Linked DNA regions of Tamandua tetradactyla. The protein of the gene in region 4 purifies or fractionates together with the protein of the main gene of each other region. This does not show direct contact. Links are inferred from orthologs where the notes say so. Each region holds a gene or a part of one and is shown on either strand. Other genes may lie near its edges.

What was found.
Region 1: the proteins of EIF4E (region 4) and EIF3F purify together in Homo sapiens (affinity purification with mass spectrometry; 3 studies listed by BioGRID and IntAct, with this or other methods). This does not show direct contact. The link is inferred for Tamandua tetradactyla from reciprocal best matches to the Homo sapiens genes EIF4E and EIF3F.
Region 2: the proteins of EIF4E (region 4) and ANGEL1 purify together in Homo sapiens (affinity purification with mass spectrometry; 3 studies listed by BioGRID and IntAct, counting the BioPlex papers as one, with this or other methods). This does not show direct contact. The link is inferred for Tamandua tetradactyla from reciprocal best matches to the Homo sapiens genes EIF4E and ANGEL1.
Region 3: the proteins of EIF4E (region 4) and HHEX purify together in Homo sapiens (affinity purification with western blotting; 3 studies listed by BioGRID and IntAct, with this or other methods). This does not show direct contact. The link is inferred for Tamandua tetradactyla from reciprocal best matches to the Homo sapiens genes EIF4E and HHEX.

The regions. Positions count from the first base shown.
Region 1 is NC_135334.1:82,118,184-82,125,924, reverse strand, and holds the start of EIF3F (eukaryotic translation initiation factor 3 subunit F), read right to left. Parts: upstream 3,012-7,741; 5' UTR 2,976-3,011; coding exon 2,606-2,975; intron 2,302-2,605; exon of another isoform or gene 2,222-2,301; intron 1-2,221. UniProt on the Homo sapiens protein: Component of the eukaryotic translation initiation factor 3 (eIF-3) complex, which is required for several steps in the initiation of protein synthesis.
Region 2 is NC_135338.1:36,131,237-36,139,015, forward strand, and holds the start of ANGEL1 (protein angel homolog 1), read right to left. Parts: upstream 3,017-7,779; 5' UTR 2,995-3,016; coding exon 2,956-2,994; intron 1-2,955. Other genes in the region: LRRC74A (leucine-rich repeat-containing protein 74A), read left to right, coding at 5,932-5,968.
Region 3 is NC_135339.1:52,462,012-52,469,837, forward strand, and holds the start of HHEX (hematopoietically-expressed homeobox protein HHEX), read right to left. Parts: upstream 3,002-7,826; coding exon 2,635-3,001; intron 438-2,634; coding exon 259-437; intron 21-258; coding exon 1-20. UniProt on the Homo sapiens protein: Recognizes the DNA sequence 5'-ATTAA-3'. Transcriptional repressor. Activator of WNT-mediated transcription in conjunction with CTNNB1.
Region 4 is NC_135350.1:26,667,172-26,675,038, reverse strand, and holds the start of EIF4E (eukaryotic translation initiation factor 4E), read right to left. Parts: upstream 3,015-7,867; 5' UTR 2,958-3,014; intron 2,470-2,957; exon of another isoform or gene 2,435-2,469; intron 2,350-2,434; exon of another isoform or gene 1,452-2,349; 5' UTR 1,423-1,451; coding exon 1,405-1,422; intron 1-1,404. UniProt on the Homo sapiens protein: Acts in the cytoplasm to initiate and regulate protein synthesis and is required in the nucleus for export of a subset of mRNAs from the nucleus to the cytoplasm which promotes processes such as RNA capping, processing and splicing.

The DNA.
Region 1 (7,741 bases), on a different chromosome or scaffold from region 4:
TTGCAAAAAGTTCCAAACTGAATCAACCCTTACATTTCCCCCCATCTCTTCCACACCCAATCAGAGACCTAGAAGTCATCCTTGAAACTTTCTTTTTAATCCCTCATTTCTGATTCATACCATGTCCTATCAACTCACTCACTCCTCTCCATCCCCACTTCCAAATTATTAAAATAGCTTCTATCTGGTGTCCACAAATAACCTATTTCTCTGTTATCCACTCTACAAACAGCAGGCAGAATCATCAATTCCTATTTAGTCTTAGCTGAAATGCCACAGTTAAGGTGTTCTTCCCCCACGTACCCCCAAACCTAATGAGGGTGCCATTTTGTCTTTCCATAATTTCCTAACCTTCTTCACAGCACTTTGCACACTTGTAATTATTTAATATCTCTTATGACTCTACACCTCACTAGCTTCATTTCCTGTCGTATATCTTTTCTTCTATATTCCTCTAATGCTGAACCACTCAGCTAGTGGAACTTTTTATACTTCCTGCATCTGCTTTAATGCCCAGCTCAAATGTCATCTTTTTTGTGATGCTTTCCCCAAACTTCCAAAATAGTTTTATGGACTTCCACGTCACTTTGAATACCTTTCTACTGGAACATTTATCAAATTATATTCTAATTACTTATATATAATCACATTATATTCTAATTACTTATATATAAGAGTATCTCCATCTCGTGTATAAGGTTTATTTTCTCAATTTTAAATTCTAAGTATCTAACAGTTTCTGGTATTTAAGAAGCATAGGTGACTTCATTTAACGAAATGAAATATGTTTCATGCATTATTTACAACCTACCTGAGAAAACCGTAAGTTTCTAGCAGGCAGAATCTATGCGTCAATTATCAATAAGCATTATTCCTGTAACACATAGTACTATACCTATAATCCCAGGTTGAAATAGGATCTGAGAATCTAGATTACAGCTGGTCTAATTAGGGTCACTGTAATATATGAGACACTAAGCATAAATCTTGGGTGGAGAACTATTCGCTATTGAGTTCTGAAAATTTTACAATATAGCTAAAAGAGTAAGTATCTGTCAAGTGTCAAGTCAGTGATGGAAAAATCATTTGTTATAGAGCAGGGTACAGTTCCAGAATGCTATGAGACTCAGTGGGATTACTACTGAGATGAGGGTGGGGTATAGGATGGAGGATTGATACTGGACATTTTCCCTAGGAACCTCGAAGATGGGTGGCACTCAAAATAAAGAAATATAAAAAAGAAAAAGAAAAAAGATGAGGCAGAACAGGGAAGACATTTGTGGCAAATAGAATGCAGAAGCTTAGATTAAGAAAAGTCATGGCAATGTTTGACAGGTAACGGATCAAGTAGTTCCTGTAAATACAATCGTTGTACCCTCAAAGAGAGAGAGAGAGAAAAAGAGAATGCGTATAGGCCTGACCAGGTAGAAGACAGTAACTAACTGCTGCTTCATATCTAATGTGTGCCAGCACTGTTAGGTGACTTCTGTAATAATTTAGTTCTCAGAAAGACTAAGTCTGAAGTAGCCACTGAAAAAAGCTAGGTAATTTTCCCCAAGGCACATGGCTAATATGTGGAGTCTAGTTATAAATTTTGTCCTATTTGTAATACACCAATTATCTTCTAGAGTGTAAGGACATGTCTAAGAGTAAGAAAAAGAAATGATCCATGAGATGGGGGTGTGGACACACAAAGATGTCTAAAACGCACAACTAGATGGAGTGGAAATGTATCTGAGGGGCCCAGAGAAAAGGATTTATTATTAACAATCCCTCTCTGCCCTTTGGTGCTTTTCGCTTCTTTAAAACTACTTTAAAGAAAAATACCTATTCCCCAAATAAAAGTGAAACATGGACAGGGAAAAGATTCTTCTTCAGTTTTAAGATTCAAGCCGAACATCCCACAAATAATAAAACTGTCTGTGTCCAAATGGAGGATTAAAGGCAGCACCGGGGATACAGGGTCTACCACTTCAGGAACTAGTATTATTGGAAATTTAGGAACACAGGATCAAGCTCAGAAGTTTAGGAAAGCAGAATAGTATAAAATCTTAAACGGATTCCAGCCAAATTGGTTAACTTGTTGGGACAGATCTCTTTTTAAAGACGTCCAGCTCTTTTGCCAACTCCTTTGTATACACCTAGAAGATAGAGACATTTACCGGAAGGCGGAAGAACGCGGTCACTACGCTCAGGGTTCTAGTTCCAAGCTAGCCGCTTCCTAGAATCGGCAACTGAACTCATTTCTGGTAGACTGGAGCTAATCAGACCTGAAGTGAAATACTGTTGGACAGTTAAAATGTAAGCCACCTGCCCCACAATATTTATTCAGTAAGTGATAACTACTCATTATTTGTCGCCCAAAGTGACAGCAAGCCGGCAGGAAAGAGAGTCAAACTCTCTGGGAAGATAAGTAGCAGAAAAAAGGTGGGTCGGAGAAGCAAAAGGTCAAGTCATTGTAGTGAGAAGAGGGGGAGGCAAGAGGCCAGGGAATGAAGAAGGCAGGACATCAGGGATAAAAGGGTTAATTGAGTGGGGGCGAGATAAATAGGCGGTGGTAGACAAGAGAAATTGAATTCAATCTCAATTTCCTCTCATCACTCACCCAGCAAGGTCCCGATAACTCGGGCCGCGCCCTCGTTGCGACGCTCGTAGCTGTCCACGATGGAGGCCAAAATGACCGGGTGCAGCCTGACCACGCGGCCGCCAGGGAAAGGCCCCGGGAGGGCCGGACCAGGCAACGCGGGCGCGGCAGTCTGCGCCGGGGCTTGCGTTGAGCCCGGGGTCTGCCCCGTGGCTGTGGTCGTAGCTGCTGCCGCCGCCGGATCGGATGATGGGGCCGGGACCGATGCTGGAGCTAGAGCCGGAGCCGCAGCGGGAGCCGAAGCTGCAGATGGGGTTGGTGCCGGGGTAGTAGCCGGCGCCGGAGGTGGAGTGGCAGGCGGAGAACTCCCGGGTGCAGCCGGCGTGGCCATCTTGTTGAGAAAAGAGACAGGAAAGGACTGCGTTGTAGAAAATTAGGACCTCGATAGGCTGAATATGGATCACGTGAGCGAGATCTTTGTGCCTATTGGCTCCTGATGCTGTCCACGAAGCACTAAAATTTCCTGGTGTTTATGATTTCTTCCGGAGTGCGTGCTCATTTGCTTTCCGTCCGATGCGCACGCGGTGAGAACTAAGCTAAATAGTTCCGAAGAAACTTGGGAGAGCGCTGGGTCAAGAGAAACAACTGAGTCTGCGTAGGTGTCGCCAGATGGCGCCAGAGCGCGACCGAATGCTCACCATTTGTATTTTCACGAATTTAAATGGAAAATGGGTATATAAGTGGCTTCATTCAAAATTCATGTGCCTAATATGAGGCAGGTGCTCTTTTATGCGCTTGGGCTATGTAAGTGAACAGAACAAAGATCCTTGTCCTTGAAGGGCTTACATTCGAGTGGGAAAAGACAATAAGTAAACCATATAATGTTAGAAGGTGACAAGTCCTGTGAAAGGAAAAAGTAGAGGAAGGTGAGGGCAAATCAGGATTGGAGAGGGCAGGGTAAATTATAATGAGAATATGAGATTCGAATGAAGACTTGAAGGAGGTGAGGGAGGTAACCAGTATCTAACGAAGGAGCCATCCAGGTAGAGGAAACAGCTGGGGCAAAGGCGGTAAGCAGGCGTGGGCAGGGCGTGTATAAGGAGGCCATTTGTTGTTAAGGTCATGGGGGACAGCCGCAGGAGGTGAACCTCTGAGCAGAGGGTAGAGGCAGATCATTAAGGACTTGGTGGGCCACAGTAAATACCTAGACTTTTAGTCTGAGTGTGGTGGGGAACCATGGCAGGGTTTTGAGCAAGGAAGGGTTATGCATGATCAGTCTTAGTTTTAGAAGGATCACTCTGGCTACTTCGATAAGGATATACTGAGGGAACAGAGGAAGGTGGGCGAGGAGGAGCAGGGAGACCTGTTTGGAGGCTACTAGGTAACTAGGCGATGATAGCGTCTGGGACTAGGGCAGTGTAAATGGCGAGATGTGGCCATCTTCTGCATATATTTTGAGGATGGAGGGTGGCTTCAACAGAATTTTCTGAGAAATTTTACGTGAGGTGTGAAAGTTTTTGTGCTGAGGAACTAGTAGGAAGAAGTCACCATCAGTTGAAATAGTGAGAGCTATGAATGGAGTAAAAATTAATCCTGAGTTCATTTTTGGATGTGTCACCGTTGAGATGTCCATTAGATGTCCAAGTCAACGCTTTGGGAGAAGATTAAATGAGATAATGCTTCATAAAGCTCTTAGCACATCCCTGATATACAGTACTTATTATTAGGGAGTTCCTGTTATCATTACTATATGATGGAAGGAGCTCTGATCCTTGCTGTGTGACTTTGGGAAATCTATGATTTTTTTCTGAGCCTTGGTTTCCTTCCTGGTATAATGGGAATAATAACATCTGCCTGAAAGGAATCCTATCACCTACCTTAATAAAGTTAGGGGAACTGGCAAGGTGAGTGGGTGAGGATGGACTTCTTAGTCCTGACTATTCTGGCCAGGACCTGCTTTCATCTTGGAGTTCCCTTTCAATATTAGGATTGCTACAATCCCCCGTCAGTGCTTTGGTTCTTTAATTCCCTCAAATACAGGTGGAACGGCTGGCCTCTGGTTCCGACAGTACTAAAATGTCGAAGATAAAGATGAAATAGAATGAAATAAAACCAGGCAAGCTTCCTCATAAAGTCACATTTTCGCTTTACTTAAACTTTGGAAAGGTTCTCTAGTTGTCCTTGTATACTTAGGTCTGCTGTCTGGTAAATTGCTGGGGCTCAACCTCCAAATACGCTTATTTAATTGGTGTGGACTAGACTAGTGACTAGATAAATGGTGCCTAAACTTTGTCTCTTATTACAGTCATCTGTGGAACTTGATAACCATACACAGGTCCAGGCTCTTACTCCAAGAGATTGGGCTCCTGTGGGCTATATAGCTCTCCAGGTGGTTCTGATATACATTGAATGTGAGATTCATTTGATAGAGGTAGGGGAAACTGTTAACGATGGTTCTCAAATTATAATATGCCTAAAATGCAAATTCTTATTCAGTAAGTCTGGGGTGGAACCCAAGTTTCTGCATTTCTAACACTCAGTACTTTGTACAGCAAGGAGTGTAGCCAAGGGGGAGATATTGCTGACCTTAACTATGGCAATTTCAGCTGTGATTTAGAAGAGTATGACTAGTTTGAAAGATATTTTGGAGGCAAGATTGACCGAATTTGATATCTGATTGAATAGAGAGAAGGAGTCAAAAGTTTCCGTGCCTGGGAGACATGGAAAATGATGGGGTCATTATCCTAAATGGGAAAAACGTGGGAAGAGTAGGTTTATTGGAGAAAATCCCTTCCTTCAGAAAATATTGACTTAGCACCCACTATATCAGGACTTAGACCAAAATTAGGGGTATATAGGTTAATTCCACATGGTTCTTGCCATCAAAGAGCTCCTACTTTAGCAGATAATGCAAGAATGAAGTTAATGTTGAACATTTAAGTTTGGAGATGACGTTGGGATGAAACTTCTGATGAAAATATTTGGGTGGAAACTGGTAATGTAGGATCAGAATTTAGGAGAAAGCAGTGTTGATGACATAGACTTGTACATGTGGCAGACTGTGTTTTCCAGAAATGATCACTACACTATTTGCAATGCCAGTTACTTTTCCAAATCTGAATACTCTTCCTTCTGAGAGGTGGTGTCTTTGTTCCCTTCCTGTTACTGGTTGAATTGCATCCTCCAAAAAGCTATGTTGAACTCCTATTCCCCAGTACCTCAAAATGTGACATTATCTAGAAATAAGGTCATTACAAATGGAATTAGGCAAGTTAAAATGCGGTGATATTGGAGTAGGGTGGGCCTTTAATTCTTATGACTGATGCATTTATAAGACAGACATACTACAGGGGGAATGGCATGTGACAACTGAGGCAGAGATTTAAGCCCATGAATTGCCAGCAAAGCACCAGAAGCCAGGAAGAGTTAAGGAAGGATTCTCCACCTCACATTTCAGACTTCTAGCCCCCAGAACTGTGAGGCAATACATTTTTCTTCTTTTAAGTCAACCAGTTTGTAGTACCTTGTTACAGTTGTTCTAAGAAACTAAGACACTTCTGTTGAATTTGGGCAGGGGCTTGTGACGGGTTTTCACCAAGAGAGTAAGGTGAAAGTGATTTTATATGACTCAAACTAGGTTTAAAAAAGGTTACAGCTTCCACCTGGTTTCCTCTCTTGGGACATTCGTTTTAGGAACTCAGTCACCATGCTGTGAGGAAGCCCAAGCCATATGAAGAGGCTTCCTGTAGGAGCTCTGGGTGACAGCACCAGCTGAGATGTTATCCAAGAGCCAGCATCAACCACCACAATTATGCCTGAGTGAGCCTTCCAATTCCCAGTCCCAGCTTGAAGCTGCCCCAGCAGATATGGATCAGAACAGAGACAAACGATCTCTGCTCAGCCTCCAAACTGTAGATTCATGAGCAAAATATATGTGTGTCATTGTTTTAAGCCACTAAGTTTGGGGATGACTTGTTGCACAGCCATACTATTTGAAGCAGTATGTCATCCGCTTAGAAATGAGTTAAAATCATGGAATTGGTAAGCCTTCCAAGAGGGAGATTCTAGGAGGAAAAGTAAAAGACTCCTAGAACATGCTAACATTTAAATAGCTAAGGAGAACCACTCCACACACACTAGGGTGATTATTAGTTTAAAACATGAAAAATAAGTGTGAGGATGTGGAGAAATTGGAACCTTTGTGCATTGCTGATGGGAATGCGCAGCCACCATGGAGGACAGTTTGGTGGTTCCTCAAAAGAGTTAAATTTAGATTTACTACATGACCTGGAAATTTCATTTCTTGGTATATACCCCAAAGCATTTAAAGCAGGTACTTAAACAGATACTTTACAGTAGTGTTCATGTAACATTATCTATGACAGGCAAAAGGTGGAAACAATGCAAGTGTCTATCCACAGATGAATGGATGAATAAAACGTTGTATACACATACAATGGAATATTATTTAGCCATAAAAGGAATTATCTATGGATACATGCTACAATATGGATGAACCATGAAAACATTATGCTAAGTGAAATAACTGAGACACAAAGGACAAATACTGAATGATTCCACTTCTATGGCATGTCAAGAATAAGCAAATTCATAGAGACAGAAAACAGATCAGAGGTTACCAGGGACTGGGTGGAGGGAGACTGGGGGGTTATTATTTAAAGGGTATGGAGTTTCTCTTTTGGGTGATGACAAAGTTTGGTAATGGATGATGACGATAGTAGCAAAATATTGTAAATATGATTAATGTCAATGAATTGTATACTTAAAAATAATTAAAATGGTTTGGGTTTAACAAACAAGTATGAGTGCTGAATCATTATACTGATGTTTCTTTTAGCCTCCAGTACCTTACAGCAGCTAAGAAATAAAAACCTAAAATTGTGGAATTAGTGGCCCATACCAAACTCCTAAATCTGTTCTACAACTAATTGCTGTGATGTACTTAGAAATTTATTGCTTTTATGAATGTATGTTAGTTAAAGAGAAGGAGGAGTATAAAAGTGAAGATAGGATTTAACAAATGAATATGAATCATTATATTGATATTTCTGTTGGTCTCCAGTGTCTTGGAGCAGCTAGAAGAAAAAATGAAAAATCGTGGAACTGTAACCCATACCAAACTTTATTTATTGCTTT
Region 2 (7,779 bases), on a different chromosome or scaffold from region 4:
ATAGCTAAAAATATTCTGAGAAAGAAAAACAAAGTTGGAGATCTCACGCTACCTGACTTTAAGGCATATTATGAAGCCACAGTGGTCAAAACAGCATGGTACTGGCATAAAAATAGATATACTGACCAACAGAATCGAATAGAGTATTCAGATGTAGACCCTCTCATCTATGGACAATTGATCTTTGATACAGCAGTCAAGCCAACTCTCCTGGGACAGAACAGTCTCTTCAATAAATGGTGCCTAAAAATCCCCTTGGAGGAATGGTGAGAAAGGGGGAAAATTCAACTTCCCCAAGTGGAGAATTCTTGATATTCTCACAAGCAGTGGGGACAACCAAAGCAATAGTCTGTGCCCCCAATCTTGGGGTTTGTTCATATGAAGCTTAACCCTGCAAAGAATAAGCTAAGCCTACTTAAAATTAGCCCTAAGAGTCATCCCCAAGAACAGTGACAAAGGAGGAAAATTCAGCTTCTCAAAGTTGAATTCTTGATATTCCCACAAACAAGTTGGAACAACCAAAGCAACAGGCTGAGCCCCCAATCTTGGGACGTGTTCATATGAAACTTAACCCCAAAAAGGATAGGTCAAGCCTACTTAAAATTAGGCCTAAGAGTCACCCCCAAGAGAACCTCTTTTGTTGCTCAAATGTGGCCTCTTTCTCCAGCCAAACAACAACAAAACTCACCGCCCTCCCCCTGTCTATGTGGGACATGACTCCCAGAGGTGTGGACCTTCCTGGCAATGTGGGACAGAAATCCTAGAATGAGCTGAGACTCAGCATCAAGGTATTGAGAAAACCTTCTCAACCAAAAGAGGGAAGAGTGAAATGAGACAAAATAAAGTGTCAATGGCTGAGAGATTCCAAACAGAGTCAAGAGGTTATCCTGGAGGTTATTCTTACGCATTAAATAGATATCACCTTGTTAGTCAAGATGTAATGGAGAGGCTGGAGGAAACTGCCTGAAAATGCATAGCTGTGTTCCAGTAGCCATGTTTCTTGAAGATGATTGTATAATGATATAGCTTTCACAATGGACTGTGTGATTGTGAAAACCTTGTGTCTGATGCTCCTTTTATCTACCTTATCAACAGACGAGTAAAACATATGGAATAAAAATAAATAATACAGGGAACAAATGTTAAAATAAGTTTAGATTGAAATGCTAGTGATCAATGAAAGGTGAATGGGATGTATGATCAATGAAAGGGAGGGGTAAGGGGTATGGTATGTATGAACTTTTTTCTGTTTTCCTTTTATTTCTTTTTCTGAATAGATGCAAATATTCCAAGAAATGATCCTGATGATGAATATGCAACTATGTGATGATATTGTGAATAACTGATTATATATGTAGAATGGAATGATCAAAAGTTAAGAATGTTTGTGCTTGGTGTTTTTTGGTACTTTTTAAAAAATTAAAAAAATAGTCACCCCCAAGAAAACCTGTCATTGCTCAGATGTGGCCTCTCTCAGCCAACACAACAAGCAAACTCACTGCCCTCCTCCTCTCTACATGGGACATGACTCCCAGGAGTGTGGACCTTCCTGGTAACGTGGGACAGAAATACTGGAATGAGCTGAGACTCAGCATCAAGGGATTGAGAAAACCTTCTCAACCAAAAGGGGGAAGAACAAAATGAGGCAAGATTAAGTGTCAATGGCTGAGAGATTCCAAACAGAGCTGAGAGGTTATCCTGGAGGTTATTCTTATGCATTGAATAGATATCACCTGTTTAGTTAAGGTGTAATAGAGAGGCTTAAGGGAACTGCCTGAAAATGTAGAGCTGTGTTCCAGTAGCCATATTTCTTGAAGATGATTGTATAATGTAATAACTTTCGCAATGTGACTGTGTGTTTGTGAATATCTTGTGTCTGATGCTCCTTTTATCTACCTTATAGACAGACGAGTAAAACATATGGATTAAAAATAAATAAATAATAGGGGGAACAAATGTTAAAATTAAAAATTAAAAATTTTTTTCTTAATGGCAAAATGTTAAAGGAGCATAGGAGCCAACACAAAAGAGCTCCCAAGGACCACTGTTGGAACCTGGACAACAAAATAAATAAAAATAGTTTGTCAAATATCAGTGAGTCCCTACTGATATAAACAATTGAATAAATAAACGAAAAAGAGGGAAGACTCTCTCATAGACAAATTCCAATTAATAAATGCAGAAGAATTGTGAGAAATAGAAAACATCCTGAGAACACCACAATAGTAATTGCTGAGGCAAGACCCAATGATGGATGCTAAAATTAGTGAATGAAAGTTTAAGCAGAAATAAAGATACATAATCTTAAAATATCCCTCCCCTCCCCCACCAAACATTTATTAAATACAAGATGAAAAACAGCGTCTTTATAGTGGGTAAACCTGGCTGACATCACCCTGACCAAGTGATGAATTCTAATATATATCAAGATTTTATGCCCTAGAGAAAGGGAAAATAGTCAACTTCCCCATTTGGAGAATTTCTGACATTCTCTCAAGCAGTGGGGACAACCAAATCAATAGGCTGAGCCCTGAATCTTGGGGTTCACCCCAATGAAACTTTATTCCTGCAAAGGATAGGCTAAGCTTACTTAAAATTAGGCCCAAGAGTCACCCCTACAGAACCTGTTTTGTTGCTCATATGTGGCCTCACTTTCTAAGCTGATCCATCAACTGAACTCACTGCCCTCCCACACTTATGTGGTACATGACTCCCAGGGGTGTAAATCTCTTTGGCAAAGCGGGACAGAAATCCCGGGATGAGTGGGAACCTGGCATCAAGAGATTGAGAAAACCTTCTTGACTAAAAGGGAGAAGAGAGAAATGAGACAAAATAAAGTTTCAATGGCTGAGAGATTTCAAACAGAGTCGAGGGGTTATCCTGGAGGTTATTCTATGCATTATATAGAAATCCCTTTTTAGTTTATAGTATACTGAAGTGACTAAAGGTAAGTACCTGAAACTGTAGAGCTGTGTTCCAGTAGCCTTGTTTCATGAAGATGATTGTATAATGATACAGCTTTTACAATGTGACTGTATGATTGTGAAAACCCTGTGTCTGATGCTTCGTTTATCTAAAGTATGGATAGATGAGTAAAAAATATGCATAAAAATAAATAATAGGGGGACAAAGGTTAAAATAAACTGGGTAGATGGGAATACTAGTGGTCAATTACAGGGAAGGGTATGGGGTATGCTATGTATGAGTTTTTTCTTTTTTATTTCTTTTTCTGGAGTGATGCAAATGTTCAGAAAATGATCATGATGATAAATACATAACTATGTGATGATATTTTGAGCTATTGACTGTACATCATGTATGAAATGTTTGTATGTTAAGTTTTATCAATAAAAATATTTAAAAAAAAAAAGATTTTATGCCCCTAATATGATGCCCTGAAAAGAGTACATCATGTCTGTGGTATACTTCCCCATAACACAATCTCAAGCCCAAGATGAGGGACATTCTACAAAATACCTGACCAGTAATCTTCCAAGGTGTTAATGTCATGAAAGACACATTGAGGAGATCTCACAGATTGAGTAGACTATGGATATGTGATTTAAATGTGGGACCCTAGATTGGATGCTGGAACAAAAAGTGGACATTAGTGTAAAAGCTGGTAAAAGACAAATGAAGTCTGTAGTTCAGTTAATAATATTGTATCAGTGTCAATTTCTTAGTTTTGATCATTATTCTATTGTTATGTACGATGTTAACATAAGGGTAAGCTGGGTAAAGGTATACAGGAATTCTCTGCTATTTTTGTAATTCTTCCGAAAGTCTAAAATTATTTTAAAAAACAAAGTTTAATTCAAAAAATGAAGAAATTAAACAATTCAGCAATGAAGAAATTAAAATAATATATTGCCAGTTTACATTTTTTGGTTCCTGTTTTTTAATTTGAAAAAAAGATTTGTTTCCTAAATGATGGTTTTTGAACATTTTCTTCCAGAATTGACGCATGTGCAAAAATTCTAAAAATAGCTCTGCTTAATGGATCCCTATTGCTTTTTTGTTGCTGGCATGGGCAGGCACCGGGAGTCCAACCTGGGTCTCCAACATCCTATTGCCTTTTGATTGCATTTGAAACTGTCCCTGAGTTTGCTCTGGCCCTCATGGACTTCCCTCTCCCCATTCTCCTTCATACCCTGCACTCTCCAAAACCCACCTTGACTTCTTATGACTCTGCTGCCTTCCTTCATCCCAAAAATGCCTTTCCCCCAGACTCTACTTATCTACATGGATGCTCCCCAGCAGGGAGAAGCCTCATTCTCCCCTGCACTCCCAGAACTTCTCCCTCATTACCTTTATCAATGTCCAATATCGATCGCAGTCCCAGGCAACAGTGCCTCTGGCAGCAGCTCTTTGAAGTGACTTCCTCCAAATTTTCTAACTCACCCCTCTGTAGCTGGGACCAGAAGAAGCCAACAGTGCCATCAGGCAGAGTAGCTGGAGCCTAAACCAAGACCCCCATGTTCCTTGGTCTCTTTTACTCCCCCTAAAGTTTCTCTCTCATCCTCTACACCAGCATGGGGTTGACCAGATGCTCTGAGGATCTCCAGGATTCTGTTTATGGAGTCATTTTAGGAATTGATAACTCCTTCTGTCTGTCCAGTGTTTCTTTTTGAAGGGCCACATGAGATTGGGCTGCCAGAATGGTGTTGCCACTCTAATCTGGGGTGACTCAAATTGTTTATATGAGCAGAGGTTCTGCCAAAATTATTCACCCAGGCAGGGCCCTCAAACCCTGTTGATTTCTAACTTATATTGTACATAAGGGACAATGTCTTAGTCATGTTTGCATCCCCCTCATTGTGCCTTGCGTAGTGTTTTGCAACGAGTAATATCTCAGATTTACAAATTTCTTTCCATCCATGTTTCTAACTATGTTTTCTCTACACGATTTCCCAAACTTCATCATTCTTCTGAGTGCAAGAAGGGATTTTTATGTCCCCAAGCCCTCCAGTCACTGACCTGACCATTGATGTGTTGAAAGTTTATCAAGAAGGGACAAACACGCCTCCGGATTCTCTTGGCAGTAAACTGCAACTAAACTTCAGCTCCAAGACATGTGAAAATGGCTAAGCGTGGGAACGATGGCTGAGTGGTTTCAAGTTAGGCAGTCCAGTAGTTGGATTGAACAATGATTTGGCTGCAAGAAAACTGTAGTGATAAACATATGTTTGTAGTGCTTTGCTTTTGATATTCTCTAAAGTTGAGGGCACTCTCCCAAGAGGGGACGAAAAAAGGCAGAAGAACTGGGTTGGAGAAACCTGACTTCACCCATCACTGAAATACCTCGTACCTGAAGCACAGCCACCTTGAGAGAAGAACATGGTGGCAGCTCTTCACAATCACCAGATTAAGGGGCTTGGGTTTGGTCCTGACTCAGAGGGAAATACAACACCACCGAGAGGCCTCCCTACAGCACCTGAGCACTCGCAGCCAAGCCTGAGCTTGGCCCCAGTGAACATATGAGAAAAGATGACTGCCAGAGTCACCAAGAGGGTGGGAGGCCTGCTGTTGCCAGGTCTACCCACGTAGATCACAATGACTGCATGAGGTCATGGAATGTTGAAGATGAAATGAAAGTAGCTCTGAAGTCACAAAGTCGCAGGTGGGTCAGCATCCTTTTGACAGGACTCCCAGTAATAGAGCTGTACTACTTTCCCTGATGAGTAGAAGAAGTAGCCTCCTCTCCCAAACAGAGTTGGGGCCAAATCCATGCATGTCCCATTCCTTCCAAAGCCCACTCTCCCCAGGGCTTGCTGGGTTGGAAGGATAACTATAATCCTTCCTGGAATTTGCCTGTGCAAGGGCAGGATGTACAAACTTTAAGCCAGAGATGAATGGGCAGGTGTGCTTCTCAGAGTAGCAGCAAAAAAGTGGCAAGAACCTGGCAGCAGCTCCTGAGAGGTCCCTGGCGCCATGGATGATGACGAACCTCCTGAGACTGAGATTAAAGGTGAAAAGGCATCCAATGTCTCACCATTAGGCCCTTGGGGGCTGCCTCAGTATAACACCCCATGATCACAGGGACTCCGGAGTCTCCATCTTTCCTTGCCTAGGACCCGCTAGAATTGGGGTGATGTGTCCATTGACTCAGGTTCAAGGCCTGCAAACAGGTAGTGAGAGTTGGATGCAGTAATTTCTTGGAACTGGCTCATACTGGCTCTAAGTGACTTTAATTCTCATTTTGTGCAGTGGTTGACATCACATTGGTAGCTTGAAATCAGACATTTTGGGAATATTTACACCACATAAATTGGCTAGCATTACGAATCAGGATTTTTTCATGGGAGCCTGATGTTAAACATTTACCAGCACTCTACTGCTCAGATGGAATTCCAGAATCATTTAACTAGTGAGGAAATTAAGATTTACTTTCCTAAGGGCACACAAAAGTTCCAGGGTTGAGCTGGAAGGAGAATACATATCTTCTGTCAGGATACTCCTACTTCCACCTCATATCACATGGACCTTGTTTCTCAGACTGGAAATGTTGGGGCTTGGTCAGTGGCAAAGACTGAGAAAGACACAGTCCTGCAATGACACATCAGAAACCCACCATCCTAGAACCTGGATGGTCAAAACATAGGACCCCTACCACTAAAGCTCACCCCATCCAAAGTGTAGGGTGGCTAAGCTCTGACAGGCCATCTGGTCACATGGTATGGCTTCCCCCAAAACATCCAATCTTGCTGATGCAGACAGATTGAGCTCTGGATCTCATGCTTAGCTTTCAGGAATCCCTGTCTGGTTCAGGATCATTGGTCCAGGAGTGGAAACATCACATCTGGCAAGGCCAGGGGGCTGTTGCTCTCACCAACCTCTCATCAAATAGGACTGTGGGAGAACCACATGTATTTAATGCTAGCAATTAATTTCAACCCATGGGAGATTTTGCAAGCTCCTCTTCCTGCTCAGAAATTAAATTTTGGATTGGAAGGAAGAGAAGCTAAGTCAAACTCTTAGGAATCAATTTACCCCTCTTGCACCCTTGAACTACTCCTGTTCCATTTAGGTTTACATTGGACCCATGAGGCCCCTGCCTAGCTCCTAGCCCTCCCCACCCCCATTCTTTGTCCTTGACAATGAGGACAGGTAGGCATCTAGATACATCCTTTCACCTGAAAGAATAACAGCAAACTCTGGAACTCAGCCAACCAAATAAGAAGGGTCAATAGTGAGCTAAGATAGACGTGGCCTCTCTCTCGGCCAACATGACAAGCAAACTAACTGCTCTCCCCTTCTCTACGTGGGACATGACTCCCAGGGGTATAAACCTTCCTGGCAGAAATCCTAGACTGAGCTGGAATTTAGCATCAAGGGATTGAGAAAACCTTCTTGACCAAAAGGGGGAAGAGTGAAATGAGACGAAGTGTCAATGGCTGAGAGATTCCAAACAGAGTCAAGAAGTTATCCTGGAGGTTATTCTTACTCATTAAATAGATATCACCTTGTTAGTCAAGATGTAATGGAGAAGCTGGAAGGAAGTGCCTGAAAATGTAGAGCTGTGTTCCAGTAGCCATGTTTCTTGAAGATGATTGTATAATGATATAGCATTTGCAATGTGACTGTGTGATTGTGAAAACCTTGTGTGTGATGCTCCTTTTATTTACGGTATGGACAGATGAGTAAAATATGTGGATTAAAAATAAATAAATATTGGGGGGAACAAATATTAAAACAAATTTAGTAGATTGAAATGCTAGTGATGAATGAAAGGGAGTGATAAGGGGTATAGAAAAAATAGGGGGGAAAAGACTAAAATAT
Region 3 (7,826 bases), on a different chromosome or scaffold from region 4:
TTCTGAAACCAGGTTTTGACCTACAGGAAAGAAAGAGGGAAAACTTGCCACTGACCCAGAAATCTGAGGGACTGGGGGAGAAGGGCAGAAGAGGATTAGAGGCGGTGGAGCAGACCCACCCTGCCAGCCCTCCAGGCGTTTAGGCAGACCGTCGGGATGAGTCAGAGCGCACCGTGGTGGCTCCGCGTGGTACTCCAGACCCGCGGCGACCCGCACCCCAGGAGCCTCCTTCCAGAGAAGGTCCTACAGGGTGCTCACCTGCCTCTCGCTCAGCTGTAGCATCTTAGCCAGACGCTTCCTCTCGGGCGGAGAGAGGTATTTCTGGTTCTCAAATTTCTTCTCCAGTTCGATGGTCTGGTCGTTGGAGAACCTCACCTGGCCGCCTTTCCTTTTATGCAGCGGCCTTTGTAAGAAGGGGCTCCAGAGCAGGGGTTTGCCTGGGGACAGGAAGAGCTGCGGTTAACAGCGGCCCTGGCGCTCCCTGCAGACCCCAGAACTATCTAGCCTGGAGGGGGTTGGGGGTGGGGGTAAGGGGTGGCAGAAAGGGGGAGGAGATGCAGGAGGACACCCAGCCAGTCATGTCTACATACACCCACAGCATACACATGAACCCAACTCGCTTCCGCCAATACACATGAATATCCACATACACACACACAAATACAAACACCTAGACTGTGTATGCACATAATCTACCCAAAGTGACAGACCTACATTGCATACGCACATAGTCCGTGCAGTATACTCACAGACACTCACATACAACCATCGCACCTAAGCTAGACACAAACACACAAATCTTTTAACACCCTAAAGAACACCCACTACTGTTGACCTTCTTTCACCAGTCACACTGAAATTTATTCACAAAACTTTTTGCATCCTCGGATCCTCTCCCTTGGTGAGCAGCACGTTCCAAATTCCCGGTGTGCGCGTGTTGGGAAGGAGTGGGCTGTTACACTACCCTAGGCACTGGTGGCCCGGGGTCGGTCGCCTGAGACTCCTGGGACCACGAGACTTGGCTGTGCGCGCGGGGCCGGGGCGGGGTCGGGTGGGATGGGGGCTCTCAAGCCAGGCGCCCGCGTTAGGCCATGCGAGGTTCCTCCAATCCTGGCCCGAGGGAGCCGCGGCATCCTCTGATTTTACGCTCAGTCCGCGGGGATGGCCAGTTAAAGCCACCCCGTGGGTTACGGCAACATTTCCGTCAATGTGTTTCCTGTTGGTCTATCTCGAAAAACCCTTTGCTTCCTCCTGCGCAGCCCCAGCAGTAACCCAAGGAAACCCAGAGCGCGCTCTGTGCAATCGTTCGCCCTCCAGGCCCAGCCCAGCTGACTGTCCCGGTCCGGAGCTGCCGCACCAAACCTTGAGGCTCGAATCAAAATTACAATATAATAACTTAAGAAGAAAACCCCCTAAAATATAATCCCCTGAAAATTTTTCTGAAGTTGAGAGAGAAGGTGGAAGACGGAGCTACAGGCCGCGCCATAATAAAAATGGCATTATTAAATTAACGTGAATTATCCCCAGGGTCGCTACTGAAGCTGCCAATAACACAGAGTTGATTTTAAACCCTAAGTAAGGCCAGTTGCCCAGTTTCCTTATCCGTCCCCAGAGCTTCAGACCCCAAGGACCAGTCTGGGGCGCGGAACTGGGCAGCCTCTTTGCTTAAGGAACTGAGGGAAACAAACCCCGCAAATTCTATATGGCCAACGTGCCCGCGCTGCCCTTCCTATCTTGGCCCGGGGATTGCAGCTTCCTACTCCAAAGGTCTGTCCGTCAGTGCGTCAGTCCGTCTGTCTGCCGGTTTGCCGCTAACCACTTTGAAAGCTGGCATTGTTTTTTCGAGATTTTGCTTGCGTCAGGCTTCAGACTGGTGCAAAACAGCCTCGGGGGAAAAAAAGGAAGCAACTGGTTATTTTAGCTGCCATAAAGTCACATCCCACACGGAGGAAATGAACAATATCAGAAAAACGGATCCCGGCTATCAGAAGTCGAGTGTTTCCTGAATTTGTCTGTATTGAGGATGTCGATAAAATAATCAGCAGCGTGCACTACTCCGGGGGAAGGGTCTGCTTCATGCAGCCAGGAAAACACTTAACAGCTTCTGAAACCAGATTTACTCCTATCGAGAACTCAAGATTTCCTGTATGAACGTAAAGGGTCAGGCTCTTTCACTGCACAAGCTTGTTGAACCAGGTCCAGTCCCGTAACCAACCGGGCCTGGCAGCTATCTCTGTCCCTCAGGGACCGACCCGGGGCGCCTCAGCAACCCCTTTTCGGTCCCTCTCACAAAGGGAGCCCCACCCGGGGCGACACGCGCGGCTCGGGGTTATGCTCTGCCGCCCGCCCTGTCAGCAGAGCCCGAGGTCTCGCCTCGGCCGCGCGCCCCGACGCCTGCAAGGTGCAGGAAAACCAATCTGAGTCATCGTGCGGTCAGTCCCGGCCGCGCGCTACCCGGGCCTTCGCCTCCACTTGCCGCGCGCACCGGAGAGCCGCTTTTCAATCGCTTTTGCTACAACTTTCTATTGCCTACCCCCCTCCGTCCCCGCCGCCTCCCGGGCGCTGCCACCTGCCGGGTGGCGCCTTCCTCGCCGCCGCCCCAGCTCGGCCCCGCCGTGACCCCGGCCGCCTTACCCAGGGGGTCGTGGCGGAGCAAGGCGTGCGTATAGTCGTTCACGGTCCGCGGGAAGGGGTACAGAGGGCCCCCGAAGCCGCCGGGTGCGTAGGCGGCGGCCAGCGCGGCGGCAGAGTGGTGCGAGAAGGCTGGGTGAATCGGCGTGGGCTCGTACACCGGGGTCCGGTAGGAGGACACGAGGCTGGTGAAGGAGGAGTTGGGGGACGGCAAGGTGGGGGTGGGGGTGGGCGCTGCGGGCCCGCGGCCCAGGATGTCCTCGATGTAGAACGGCGTCGGGTGCGCCGGCTGCAGCAGCGGTGTGGGCGCGTACAGCGGCACCCCTACGGCGCCCGCTGCCGCCGCCGGCCCGGGGTGAGGGTACTGCATGGCTCCGCTGCGCTGCGGCCCCTCCGCGAGCTGCCCGCCGGCGCCGCGGCGCTACATTTATCCACGCTAGCCGCTCCCGGCGATAGGCTCCGCCGACCGCGGGGTGGGGCCGCGCTAACTGGCCCCTTCCTGCCGCCGGGCCCCGCGGCCAATGGCGCGGGGCCCCGGGAGCAGCCTCCCGCCCACCCCTGGCCCGCCCCCGCTGGCCGAGCTCTCCGCCCTAGGGGCGCGCCCGCTCTCGGGCTCCTTGGACCCTGAGTCCAGGTACCTAGCTGCTGCCACCGCTTCTCAGGGCTCCTAACACCCCTGCCCGGGTCGCCCTAGAGGGAAACCCGGGGCTCACTCCCGTCGAGGGAGGTAGGAGATAAGCAGCTGGCTAGAGCGCGGACTCAAACGGCCCTGACCCTCGCTGGAAGGTTCGTCCGCCTCAACTCTGGCGCTCTGACCCAGGCCCTGGCCCAGGGTGACGACAGCGATCCCCCGGCGGGCCCCACGAGACGGGCAGCCGGAGTTGGGCCCAGCGGGTATAGAGGCCAATGACAGGGCTGCGCCGTCGCAGGCCTAGAAGTAGGCTTCCCGAACGGCGCGCACCCTGGAGTAAGTGTGGCACTGGCTGTTGTCCCCGGCGCCTCCGGAGCTCTTAGCTGGAGCGTGTGCCCAGGATTCCTGGGGTTGCTCCAGAAAGAGCCTTGACTCTTAGTTCTGTCCCAGCGGGCTAAGATGACTAGATTTAAAGTGCTCCGGGCCCTTGGCAGTTCCGGCCTGTTTTATTTGGGAGCCCCGGACTCAGCTGGAAGCTAGCAGTAGATCCCCCGGCCAGGAATCAGGAGAGGCCTGGGTCTTCTGAGCCGCAGAGACACTTCAGTCTTCTCTGACTAGATGAGAGCTGCTCCTTGTCTCCTCTCCCACAGACTTGGGTGACCACAGCTGTGCACAGCCCCCCTCCCCGTTTTGCACGTGTTTTCCATTGAAGCTGTGATGCTGGCCCACGTGGCTTTGACTCTGTGAGGTTCTACTCGCCTCCGGGGCAGGGGGGCATTTACTTGATTGAAGCCCTCCTGCAGTCGCCACACCTAGCGGTGAGCAGTTTCTGCTATGGTCCCCTCCCAACCTTCATTAATAGTAGAAATGGAAAGATTTTCCAGCTTTTTCCCATGAGAAGGCTTTTATTTACATATTAGAACTAATTCTCTGGTTGCAGTGGGACTGTAGTAGAAAGAAGAGTTGCCTTGAAGGCTGGATTGCCTGGGTTCGAGTTTCACCCCCTGCATTTTTGTTGAGTACCTACTGTGGGCAGGCGAGAAACGAAACAAATGTATTCCCTGCCCTTACGGAGGCGCTAAATAAATCTTGACACGGTGGCTTACGTATGTGCTAGGAAGGAGCATTACAAAGTGTACTGAAACCTTATTAAAAAACTAAATTTGGGGAGGGGGTGTTAAGGTAGAGAAAGTTTTCCCCAAGAAAGTGAAGTTTGAAAGCTGAGTAGACATGGAGCCTAACGAAGAAAGAAAATTCCAATTCCAGAGATTATTTGAGGCAGTCATCCTCCCTGAGCTTTAGTTTTCTTATCTGCAACATTTGGGACATGGCCTAATGCTTCCGAATCTTTTTGTGGTGGGGTCCTTCAGAATCTGAGGACAGATAAGAACTACAAGGGCAGACAAGCTCAGTAAGTGTAATATGTTATCATTTGGGTGAAAAAGTTGGGATTGGGTAAGAATGTATGTGTGCCTTTGCTCTATATATAAACTGTCTCTGGAGGAATACACGAAAATTAATAATATTGGTTGTCTACAGAGGAGGAGTGAACTAGGAGGGATAATATGCTATATGTCTTTTGAATATGTGGATATGTGACCTCTTCAGAATATAAGTCCTTGGAGAAGTGGCTGATTCTAGATCTGAAATAGGAAAAGTACAAGGTGAGCCCGAGTTATCTTGTGCCAGAGTTATTTTATGCCACAAACCACAGAAAGAATAAAGAGATCACCCTGAAGGGGCTTCCTGTGTCCAAATGTGGGGTGATTTAAGTTTCAAAAGCACATTATGGATTATAAAACACTGACTATAATAATGCCTGAGTCCATAGTGATACTCAAAGAGAAAGAAAGGGGTAGTGCATGGGAAAGCTGGGAGAATGCCAGATGTAGAAAAATGATAAAATATGAAAATTCATTCAGGAAAAAAAATCATCATTGAACACCAAAACCATTGGATGAAATTTTGTGAGGCTAAGGATATTCACAGTCATATAGTATTACCCCAACAGCTTAGTTATTTAGTACGAAAAGGGAAGTGAGCCTTTACAATGCAGAGATCTGGCCAACACCACCTTAACCAAGTGATCAAACCTAGTGTCACCATTGCTGGGACAATCTGTTAAGTGCCTCCTGACAGGAAGTAGTAAGAGATACACACCAGAAACTGTGTGATAGTCCACCAAAAATGTTTGCCCTGAATTTAATCATGAGAAAACAGTTAGACAAATAAAAAATGAAGCTATTATATTAATGAAATGGTCCTTCTTTAAATGTCTATGAAATGAAAACTAGTAAAAAAAAAAAGTGAGACTTAGAAGTTAAAGGAGAACAAAAAGACACAACCAAATGTAATTCATGAAACTCGATTGGATTTGGTATCTTTTTAAGCTATAAAAGACATTTTGAGAGAATAGCACGGAAATCTGAATAGGAATTGAATTTTAGATGACATTATTAAATTAATGTTAATTGTCAGTGTGATACTGGTATTGTAAATTATATCAGAATTTGGTTGAATGGTATACATTTGCTCATTGAACTGTAGTTTCAGCTTTTCTGTAGATATGAATTTTTTCAGCATAAAAACTGGGAAATATAAATATGATTTTACATAAAGTAAAAAGCACTATTTCCTCATTTTAAAAAGGGGAAATTTATTTAAGTTATTTGTTAAGTCTGCATACATTTTCACGTGAACATTTGTGCTGGTTTGAAATGATGTATGTACCCTAGAAAAGCCATATTTTAACCCTAATCCCATTTTGTAAAGGCAGCAGTTTCTTCTAATCCCTATTCACAACTGTATGCTTGAAACTGTAATTAGATCATCCCCCTGGAGATGTGATTTAATCAAGAGTGGTTGTTAAGCTGGATTAGCTGGACACATGTCTCCACCCATTTGGGTGGGTCTTGATTAGTTTACTGGAATCCTATAAAAGAGGAGACATTTTGGAGAAAGAGATTCAGAGAGAGGAGAGCAGAACGACATAGCCACAAGAAGCAGAGTCCACTAGCCAGCGACTTTTGGAGATAAAGAAGGAAAATGCCTCCCGGTGAGCTTCATGAAACAGGAAGCTAGGAGAAAAAGCTAACAGATGATTCCATGTTCACCATGGGCCCTTCCAGATGAGAGAGGAACCCTGATTGTGTTCACCATGTGCCATTCCACTTGAGAGAGAAACCCTAAACTTCATTGGCCTTCTTGAATCAAGGTATCTTTCCCTGGATGCCTTAGACTGGGCATTTCTATAGACTTGCTTTTACTGGGACATTTTCTCAGCCTTAGAACTGTAAACTAGCAACCTATTAAATTCCCCCTTTTAAAAGCCATTCCGTTTCTGGTATATTTCATTCCAGCAGCTGGCAAACTAGAACAGCATTAAACCTGGAAACAACCCTTTGAGGAGAGCTGTTTGAGAATTATTTGTTGGAGTTGAAAGGCTATTCTGGAAGCTACTCTTATACAAACTTCAGCTAGGTATTACTATTTGCCATGGTTTGCCAATCCCCAACAAACAGCATTCCCGTTAATCCTAACAAATACCTAGGGCTCTAAGTCAAGTCATACTTAAGTCAAACAAGTTTCATGCACTATGTTTACTCTGAAACCTATAACTTTCAGAGTTTCCTAGGCCAGATAAGTCCTGAAACCTAGAGGAGCCAGCCTCTCTAGAACATCAACTAATTTCATTCTCCTATTCTGTATTGTTGACACCCCTTTTCAACATGAAAAAGTTAGAATAGTTATAGTCCAAAGACCCCTATAGATTAGGTGTAGGATCAAGGGAGAAGGAGGAGTTAGAGAAGAGAGGATTTAAAAAATGAGTATGATTGCTGAATCACTATAATGATATTTCTTTTAGCTTTCAGGGTTTTGGAGCAGCTAGAACAAAAAACCTGAAAATGTGGAATGGTAACCTATACCAAACTTTGAAATCTATTCTGTAACTAGTTGTTAAAATGCACTTTGGAAATTATTGCTTTTTTTGTTTGTTTTGGTATATATGTTCTATTTCACAATTTTAAAAAATTATAAGAAGAGAACTATTTTTCCCTCTGTGGTCTGGACTGATGTTGTATCTACTCCCCCAGTCATAATTCTTGTCATATGTTCTGATGAAGAACTCAGTCAGGTGCTAAGAGGCTATAAAAAAAAAAAGTCTGCTCTTCTATGTTCCAAGGACAAAGACAGGCTTTGGGTACTAAAAAAAGATAGTTGTAATTATCTGAAACCCAAATGTGCCTTCAGAAGATATGTTTGGGTCTTGAAAGATTAAGCAATCAGAGAACTAAACAGACAACTGGATATTATTTTCTTATAAAATGTTTCCCCCTCATCTTTGATTTTCTTCTTCCTATCCCCTTCCAATTAGTGAATAACTAAGATGATTACTCCCTCTGCTTACTGCTTTTACAGTAAATTGCTAGTTGGCCTTCATTCTCCATCTTCAAAATAAAAAACAATGGGGTTATGGTACTATGTTTATTCTGTGGGTAATTCAGCCACCAGCCAAAAAGAGTTAAATCTACAAATCTTCGAAAAATAAATAGTCATAGCTAGG
Region 4 (7,867 bases):
ACTAGAATTTTTGAGGTAGTTATAAAGTCAAAACAACTTAGCGAACCATATCAAAATCACAAACTACCTTCATAGATTTATAAAAGTATCTGGCAACCAAGGCCTAGAACTGGTTCGAAACTGAGTGTCAATTGTTTTCTGGTTGCTAATGCCCCAAAATGTTGTCACTTAGGTGTCACATTCATGAAATGTCAGCTTGGACTCAGAAGCTTCGCTGGGCATGTGCCGGCAAACCCAAACTATGACAAAGATAATCACTCCTTTGAGGGGTAACTATCAACTCTCTGTCTCAGGATCTGCTCGGTTCAATTAAATTTAAAATGGTGCCTAAATTGAAAGGAAAGCCTAAAGAATGGGTAAATTAAGAACAGAATCAAATGGAAAATTTAATTTCCTGTAAGTTGTCTTAGAAATCTTCGATAATAAAGAGTAGAAAAAAACACACGGATCTAGGGCCATTCGCATTCGCTCAGGCGTGCGCATTGCACGAAAAGGATGAATGAATGGAAGGCAGGCGCGTGTGAAAGGCAGCAGGTCCCGCCGGCAATCAGACCAGCCGCAGCGATCTGTAGGCCTTGCTCCTCCCCCTTCCCTCCTCCATGACAGCCGAGACTTAAGCACTGAGGGGCGAGGACAATGTGAGCCCCCTTCTCACCACCTCCACCCCTCATTCCATCCGTAGGGCTTCACAGCACGACGCGGGGCTTTCCTCCCCACGCACACCTTTCTCTACTGCCTCGACGCCAAACTCGGCACTCTCTGGCGCGCTGAAGCAACATGCGCTCACCGCTCTCAGCTTCCCCCAGCGAGGTCGAAGATCCCCGCGCGTGCGAAGGCACCACTCCCGCCCACCCCTCCACCGACAACACGCGCCCCCTGGCTCCCCAGCCCACCCGTCTACGGAAGGAAAACTCTCGCACGTGCCCCATACCCGAGCCCCTGGGGAGGAACTCGGGAGGGAGGAAAAGGCTGGCCGGAGCTCCCTCCTCCATCACGTTCCAGGCCGGTTCTTCGCCCACCCTCCCTACAGATTCTGGCGCCCGCCCTAAGCCAGCCCCGCGCCCTCCTATTCGAAAGAAACAGTATCCACACACCTAGCCCAGGGTCCGGAACACCCTCTACCCCTGCAGACAACTCGCGGCTCCGCAAGAGGCACCGCGCCGCCCCTCCCCCGTTTTTCTTCCCCAGTTCCCCGGCCCCCACTAGAACGTGTGAGCGACACGCTGCCGCGGCCAGCCTCCGGGGCGCCCCCAGTTACCGGCGGGCAGGTTAAGCCCAAGAGGAGGGGGAGGGGGTGGTAAAGGGTAGCGTGCGCGCCGGGAACGACATCCCGCGGGGTCCCCCTGTCCGAAGGGAGCCAGAGCGCGGGGACCTGTGGGGGTGGGGGCCAAAAGCGATACTCACCGGTTCCACAGTCGCCATCTTAGATCGATCTGATCGCACAACCGCTCCTGAAGGGGAGGGGGGGGTGAGAGGAAAAAAATTAAATTCAAACCGGATTGGCTGGCTACTGCCACGTGACAGACGTGTCCGTTTGGCCCTGGCGGCGCCTGCGCAAGACTGCGGCTGCGTGAGTATCGAGAGGCTTCTGGGAAGTGGAGTCTCCTTTTTTTTTTTTTTTTTAAGGGCAAAGAAGTTTTTTAAAAAAAAAGTCTGGTCACGTGGTCGATGGATAGGGTGCGCAGTTTTCCGCGCGGCTGACACTCTCTTGCCGGAGGGTGGTTTTCAGTCCTCTGCTCTTCCGCCTGGATGTCTGCAGTCGCACTTACTGCCCGGCATGCCTACTGTGCCCTTCGTCGCCCTATCCTCCCATCTTCCCCTGTAGGCTGGGAACTGCAGGCTCAGCACGCACAATAAGGCTTCATTTGCTTAGTTGGAAGTCCTAGGACAAGTAGCCTATGTATTTATTTAGCTTTCTTTTGACTTCCCACCACCATTTTCTCTTTTAGTTTCAAAAAGAGACGGTGATGGACGGAGAATCTGTGTTTAAGCAATCGATCCTCCCCCGTCCCCCAGCTCTGCTATTGCCGGTGGTCACTCATGGCCTTCGTTGCGAGAGGAGTTGGACTGAACCGCCCACAGTACCCACTTGCCACCGTTGGGGGTGAGGGGGAGTGGACCCGAATGCGTTTTCTGACCCAAATCCTGAGATTAAACCTCTGGGCCAAAACTTGCTTGGAAGTAAAACTTATTTGGCAGCTCTGTCCTCTCGGTTCCACTATCCTCCTTTAAAGTGAACGGAAATAACCTAAGTCCAGGTGCCAGCCAGGGAAGCCACTCTGGGCCCCGCTGACTAAGCCCTGGACTGACCGTCAGGAGTCGTTAGGCCGGGTCAACTATGACTCTTGACGTTGACTCATTCTCCTTAGGCGAGTGACTTAATCATTCAGTACCTCGGTTTTTTCATTTATGAGCCACGGGTTCATACACTTACCTCACAAGGGTGTGCTGTGGTAATGACAGTAACCTGCTTTGAAAATGCATTGGACACTATAAATGTTTCGTAGGCAACTGCGTGCCTTTAAGGATCAGCTGTTTCTCTGCTGTTGTTTAAAACCATGTTTTTATTTTTACTTTTGTATACTTTGTTACATTATGATGTACATCAGTGCAACTTTAAAATTTCCAGACTTTTTTTCTATATAATTGTCGCTACCTTCATTAGAGGCGTTAATGTTCAGGAAAATACTGCGATGTTCACAGCAGTCACTGCCAATTACGAATTTGTCCCCACACTAGCATCATACTTTTCGTTTCCCTCTAAGGTATTGTGCTAGCAAGCTGTCATTTCTCAAGACAGCCTTATCCTGCACAGCCGGGTTACTAACACACACACACAAATCTAGTAATATGCTAATATAAGGTTCTAATAAGGAAGATGCTATCTCATCATTGTTTCCCATGCTTAAGAATGGTAACCCCAGAAAAATTAGTACAAGCAGGCTGCCTGTGCCTACCTGCTTATTGTGCTGCCGATGTCCAAAGCTGTGTCACACCTATTATTGAGTACATAATGGATGCTTGGGTTGACTAACACATAATTGAGGTTGAACAAAAACTCAGTCATTGCATGTTAGTATGTTTGGTTTGCCTGGATGTCAGAGATGACCAGGTACACTTTTGTCTAGCTCTAGTAGATTCTAAAATACTTAGAATTCTAAAAAATGAAAGTAAATGGATTTCTCCTTACAGAGATTATGTACTGTTACTTAAACTATTCAAAGTGATTACAGTTGATGTCGGTGTTTTCTGTTGGTTAAAAGTAGTATCTGATTATCTTCTTTGAATAGATAGCTTAGATGTGCTATTTTTGCAATGATGCTAGATAACAGAGTAAAGAATCAAGGAAATAGGCAAGGAAATATCCACATGGCACAGAAAGCCATGATGTTCTTTAAAAACGTTTTTACGCTTTTTTTCTTTCTTTTTTTAACGTGGGCAGGCACCGGAAGCGGACCCGCGTCTCCAGCATGGCGGGCGAAAACTCTGCCACTGCACCACCATTGCCCTAAAAATGTTTTTAACAATGGCTTACATAAATTTTTATCTTGATCACAAAACTCTCCGCTCTTGTCAGTCATCCTAGTACTTTTATAATACTTATGTATGCTATCAGAGCTTCATTTCACTCCCTTTTACACATGCCTTGTTGCGTATGTTTTATGGAAACTTCATGTGTCTTTCCTTAATTATTGTCATTATGTTCTGCCATGTCAAAGATTTGGTGATTAGGTCTTTATTTTGTTTTGTTTTTTTTGTTTTTGTATGCTGTATGGTGGGGATCACATCTTATTCTTTTTCCATGTGAGTATCCCCTTCTTGCAGCGCCATTTGTTGAATTTTTCTTTGTTGGCTTTTCCTTTGTTTGCTTGCTTGCTTGTTTGAGAAGTACATGGGCCAGGAATTGAACCTGGGTCTCCGGCATGGCAGTGGAGAATTCTACCACTGAACCACACTTGCACCCCCTGGTGATTAGGTTTTTATGTGTGTATGTGGTTATTTTGTTTTGTTTTGTTTCCAATTTGAAATATACATAGAAGACGGCTTATATACTTTATTCCTCTATTAAACCACACAAATAGATTGTATTTGTTACCTTACTACCACATCCCTTATCTTTATGGAAAAGAATGGTTAATGAAAAGTTTAATTTATGAAATAGGGTAAGGTATTGAAGTTCTCTTCTCTTTGATCAAGCTATCTAGTTTATAGGTAACTACCTTTGACTCATCATAATATCATGGTACTTCCTATTTATAAGTCTGGGATGATTGATTATCATCTTTAAATATAAAGCACTTTTCTCAACTTAATATATTCCTCACACTGGTATATTGTCTTTATAGATTAACTCATGGGACATGATTTTAAATAATTTGACAAAACATATAACTTGTTTTTATTATGTAATTACCTCTTTGCCATTCTAATGTTGATTAGATCTGGCAGATAACCAAAGTCATTGTTTTGCTGGGCTTTTCTACCATGTTCAAATTGATCTGATCTGCTATGATATATTTCTAAACAATATTGCTATTGTGCTAGCCATGATTTTTTTTTTAAGACAGTCTTTGAAATTTTAGATATTGTTTAGGTTAGGGGACTTTGTCTCTGATCAGTTTTAAGCAACCCTTTTTTCTTAAGATGAGAGGATTTTGAGACAGAAGATGTGAGATTGCGTAATAAGGTAAGTGATCTATAGTAGCTTAATGTTTGGCCAGAGTTTTAGATATAATCTAAAACAATCCCTAGTCAATACTAATCTGATATCCTTTCTTTTTTAACCTTGTTCAGACTTTTTTGTTGTTGTTCATTCTTTTGTTAAAACTTGGATATACTTGTACTTGATGTCATACTCTATTTTTGTACAGTATTTTTGTTATTTTCACTTTCTACAGTGATTTTCTTTTAGAAAAGCTCTAAGATGATGGCCTGTAATAAAATAAATATCCTTTAACTTATAATTGTATAGTTTAGTGGTTAACAACATAAGTTTAGTATCAAACTATCTCAGTTCGTAACCCCAAGTCCACCACTTAGCATGTGACTGTGAGCAGGTTACTTAGACTCTCTGTGCCTCATGTTTGTCATGTATTAGATGGGCATAATAATTTATGTTGTGTGGCTAATGTGAAAAATAAATGAGTTAATCCACGCAGTGGGCTTAGAATGGTTCTTAGAACATAGTACGATGTTCATTCAATTTTACCTATCATTAGGTATTAACATAGATTCTTATCTCTACTTTTTACTACAGTGGAGTATTTTTAAGAATTCTTTTCTCAGAGAACCAAACTCAGCCCAGTATTTTTGAAGATACTCCAAACTTCCAAATATTCGAAGTCAACTAACATTTATTGATCTCCTATAACATACCAAGTATCTTCCATATTAATTACTTCATTTGACCTTTATAACAATTACATGAATTAAATATCATCATCCCCGTTTTATGGATAAACAGACTCAGTAAAGTTGTCCGAGTCCACATTAGCCAAAGAGTAAACTGGAATTCAAGCCCAATCTCTCCAAGATTCGCTTTTTCCTCATACCATAGCTACTTCCCTCTGATAGGACCTCCCAAATTCTTGTTTCTCCTCAAATGATTTCTAATTCTAAGTTCATTTTCAGAAATGACAGGAAACTATTTAAGAAGTACTGAAGTACTCATGGCAAATATGTAGTAACCAAAGGATATTTAAAGGACACAGGAAGCAGGCACTTCCCTCCTGAACTGTAAAATTTGGTTGGCATATAAGTCATAGAAATATAAATAGTTCTGTCACCATATAAAGACGTGTGACTAAGAGCCAAAATGATGCAGCAAACAAGCACCATAACAAGCACCCATTCACATATTGAGACATTCTCATATTTTCTCACCTAGTTTCGTTTGGGTTTCTGTTCACATACCATCTCCTGAGCAAAGCTTTTCCTTGGCCGCCTTTATCTAAATTAGCATCCCTGGCACTCTCTGTCCCCTTACCTGGCTTTATATTTCTTCAGAAATATAGAATCCTTCAAAATTCTGGTGACAAACCTGATATTATATTAAATATCAATTCATTGTTGGTGGTCTCCACTACTAAAATATTAGCTTCTTGGTGATTGTAGGTAGATTGCAAATAAATATTTGGGAAAAACACAAATCTTATCAAACTAAGGTCAAGCCTCAGGACTAATAATTAATAGGAAAATTGCTTTAGTCAGGCACTATTCTAAGCATTTACATGCATTTATGGTACTTCATTTTGTCTTCAAAACAACACTCAAATGTGAGTGTTCTAATTTTTCAGATAAGGAGAACAAGGCTTAGAAAGGTTAAAAAAACTTGCTCAAGACCACTCAACTAGTAAAAGGAGAACCAGATTATGAACACAGTTCTTTCTTCAGGGCTCTCAATCATTATGTAACATTAACTAGATTGTAATTGGATAGCCTAATAAAGATCAATGTCTGAAATAATAGAGTAATTAATTATCATCAAAGAGAATGTGAAAAATTAATGTAAGTATATGTTTGGACCAATGATAAAGGACTTCCAAAATGAATTCATTTACCTTATTAAAATCAAAATTAAGAAAAAAATTGAAATGTGTAAGATAAGATCACTCATCTTTAGAAATAAGCCACAAGATTGTAAACACCCAAAATTCATTAGAGATTGGGTGTTACTCCAGGGAGTCACGACTGGATTTCGATTGCTACATAGATGAGTAAGTGCCTGTGTTGTGCTTTTGTTTAAAGAAAGAAATGTGTTAATGAGTGGGAGTTGGCCTGCTTACCATCCATAAAAGAGGAATCCAGAATGACTATATTTGATGATGTATCTCTAGAATCGTTGAGGGGGCAGAGTGTGAATTTCTCATCCATCGATCCTTATTTGAGGTGGTTGTTTGAGGACACCAATCATTAAAGCCATATTACTAATTCACCTCATTTTATTGCAGACTCACCAAGCAACCATATGATAAATGTATCTTCCCACCATTTTTTAAAAACTTTTTGTTGTATATACAAATCAAAATTTCCCATTTTAACCATTTTCAAAACTACAATTTGGTGGTATTAATTACATTCACAATATAGTACTACCATCATCAACATCCATTGCAGCAACTTCTCCATGACCACAAACTGAAACGCTGCCCTCATTAAGCAATAAAAACTCTTTGCCCTCTGTGCCAGTTTGAAAGGATTATAACCCAATAAAAGCCATATTTTAATCCTGATCCATTTTGTGGAGACAGCCGCTTCTTTTAATCCCTATTCAGCACTGTAGGTTGGGAACTTGAATAGATTATTTTCACTGAGATGTGATGCACTGAATTGTGGGTATTAACCTTTAATTAGAAGGAGATGTAACTCTAACCATTCCAGGGGGGGTCTTGATTACTTTACTGGAATCCTTTAAAAGAGGAAATATTTTGGAAAAAGCTTCAGAGAGCCACAGAACCTTGAGAGCCTACGCGGCCAGAGACCTTTGGAGATGAAGAAGGAATATGCTCCTGGAGGAGCTTCATGAAACAAGAAGACTGGAGAGAAGGCTAGCAGATGCTGTCATGTTCGCCATGTACCTTTCCAGTTGAGAGAGAAACCCTGAACTTCATTGGCCTTTCTTGAGTGAAGGTAACCTCTTGAAGGTAACCTCTTGTTTGGACATTTTCATGGCTTTAGAGCTATAAACTTGCAACTTAATAAATTCCCCCTTTTTAAAAGCCATTCCATTTCTGGTATATCGCATTCCAGTGGCGTGTAAACTAGAACACCCCCCATCCCCCAATCTGGTTATCTACTATCTGTCTCTATAAATTTGCTTATTCTAGGTATTTCATTTCAACAAAATCATACAATATTTGTCTTTTTG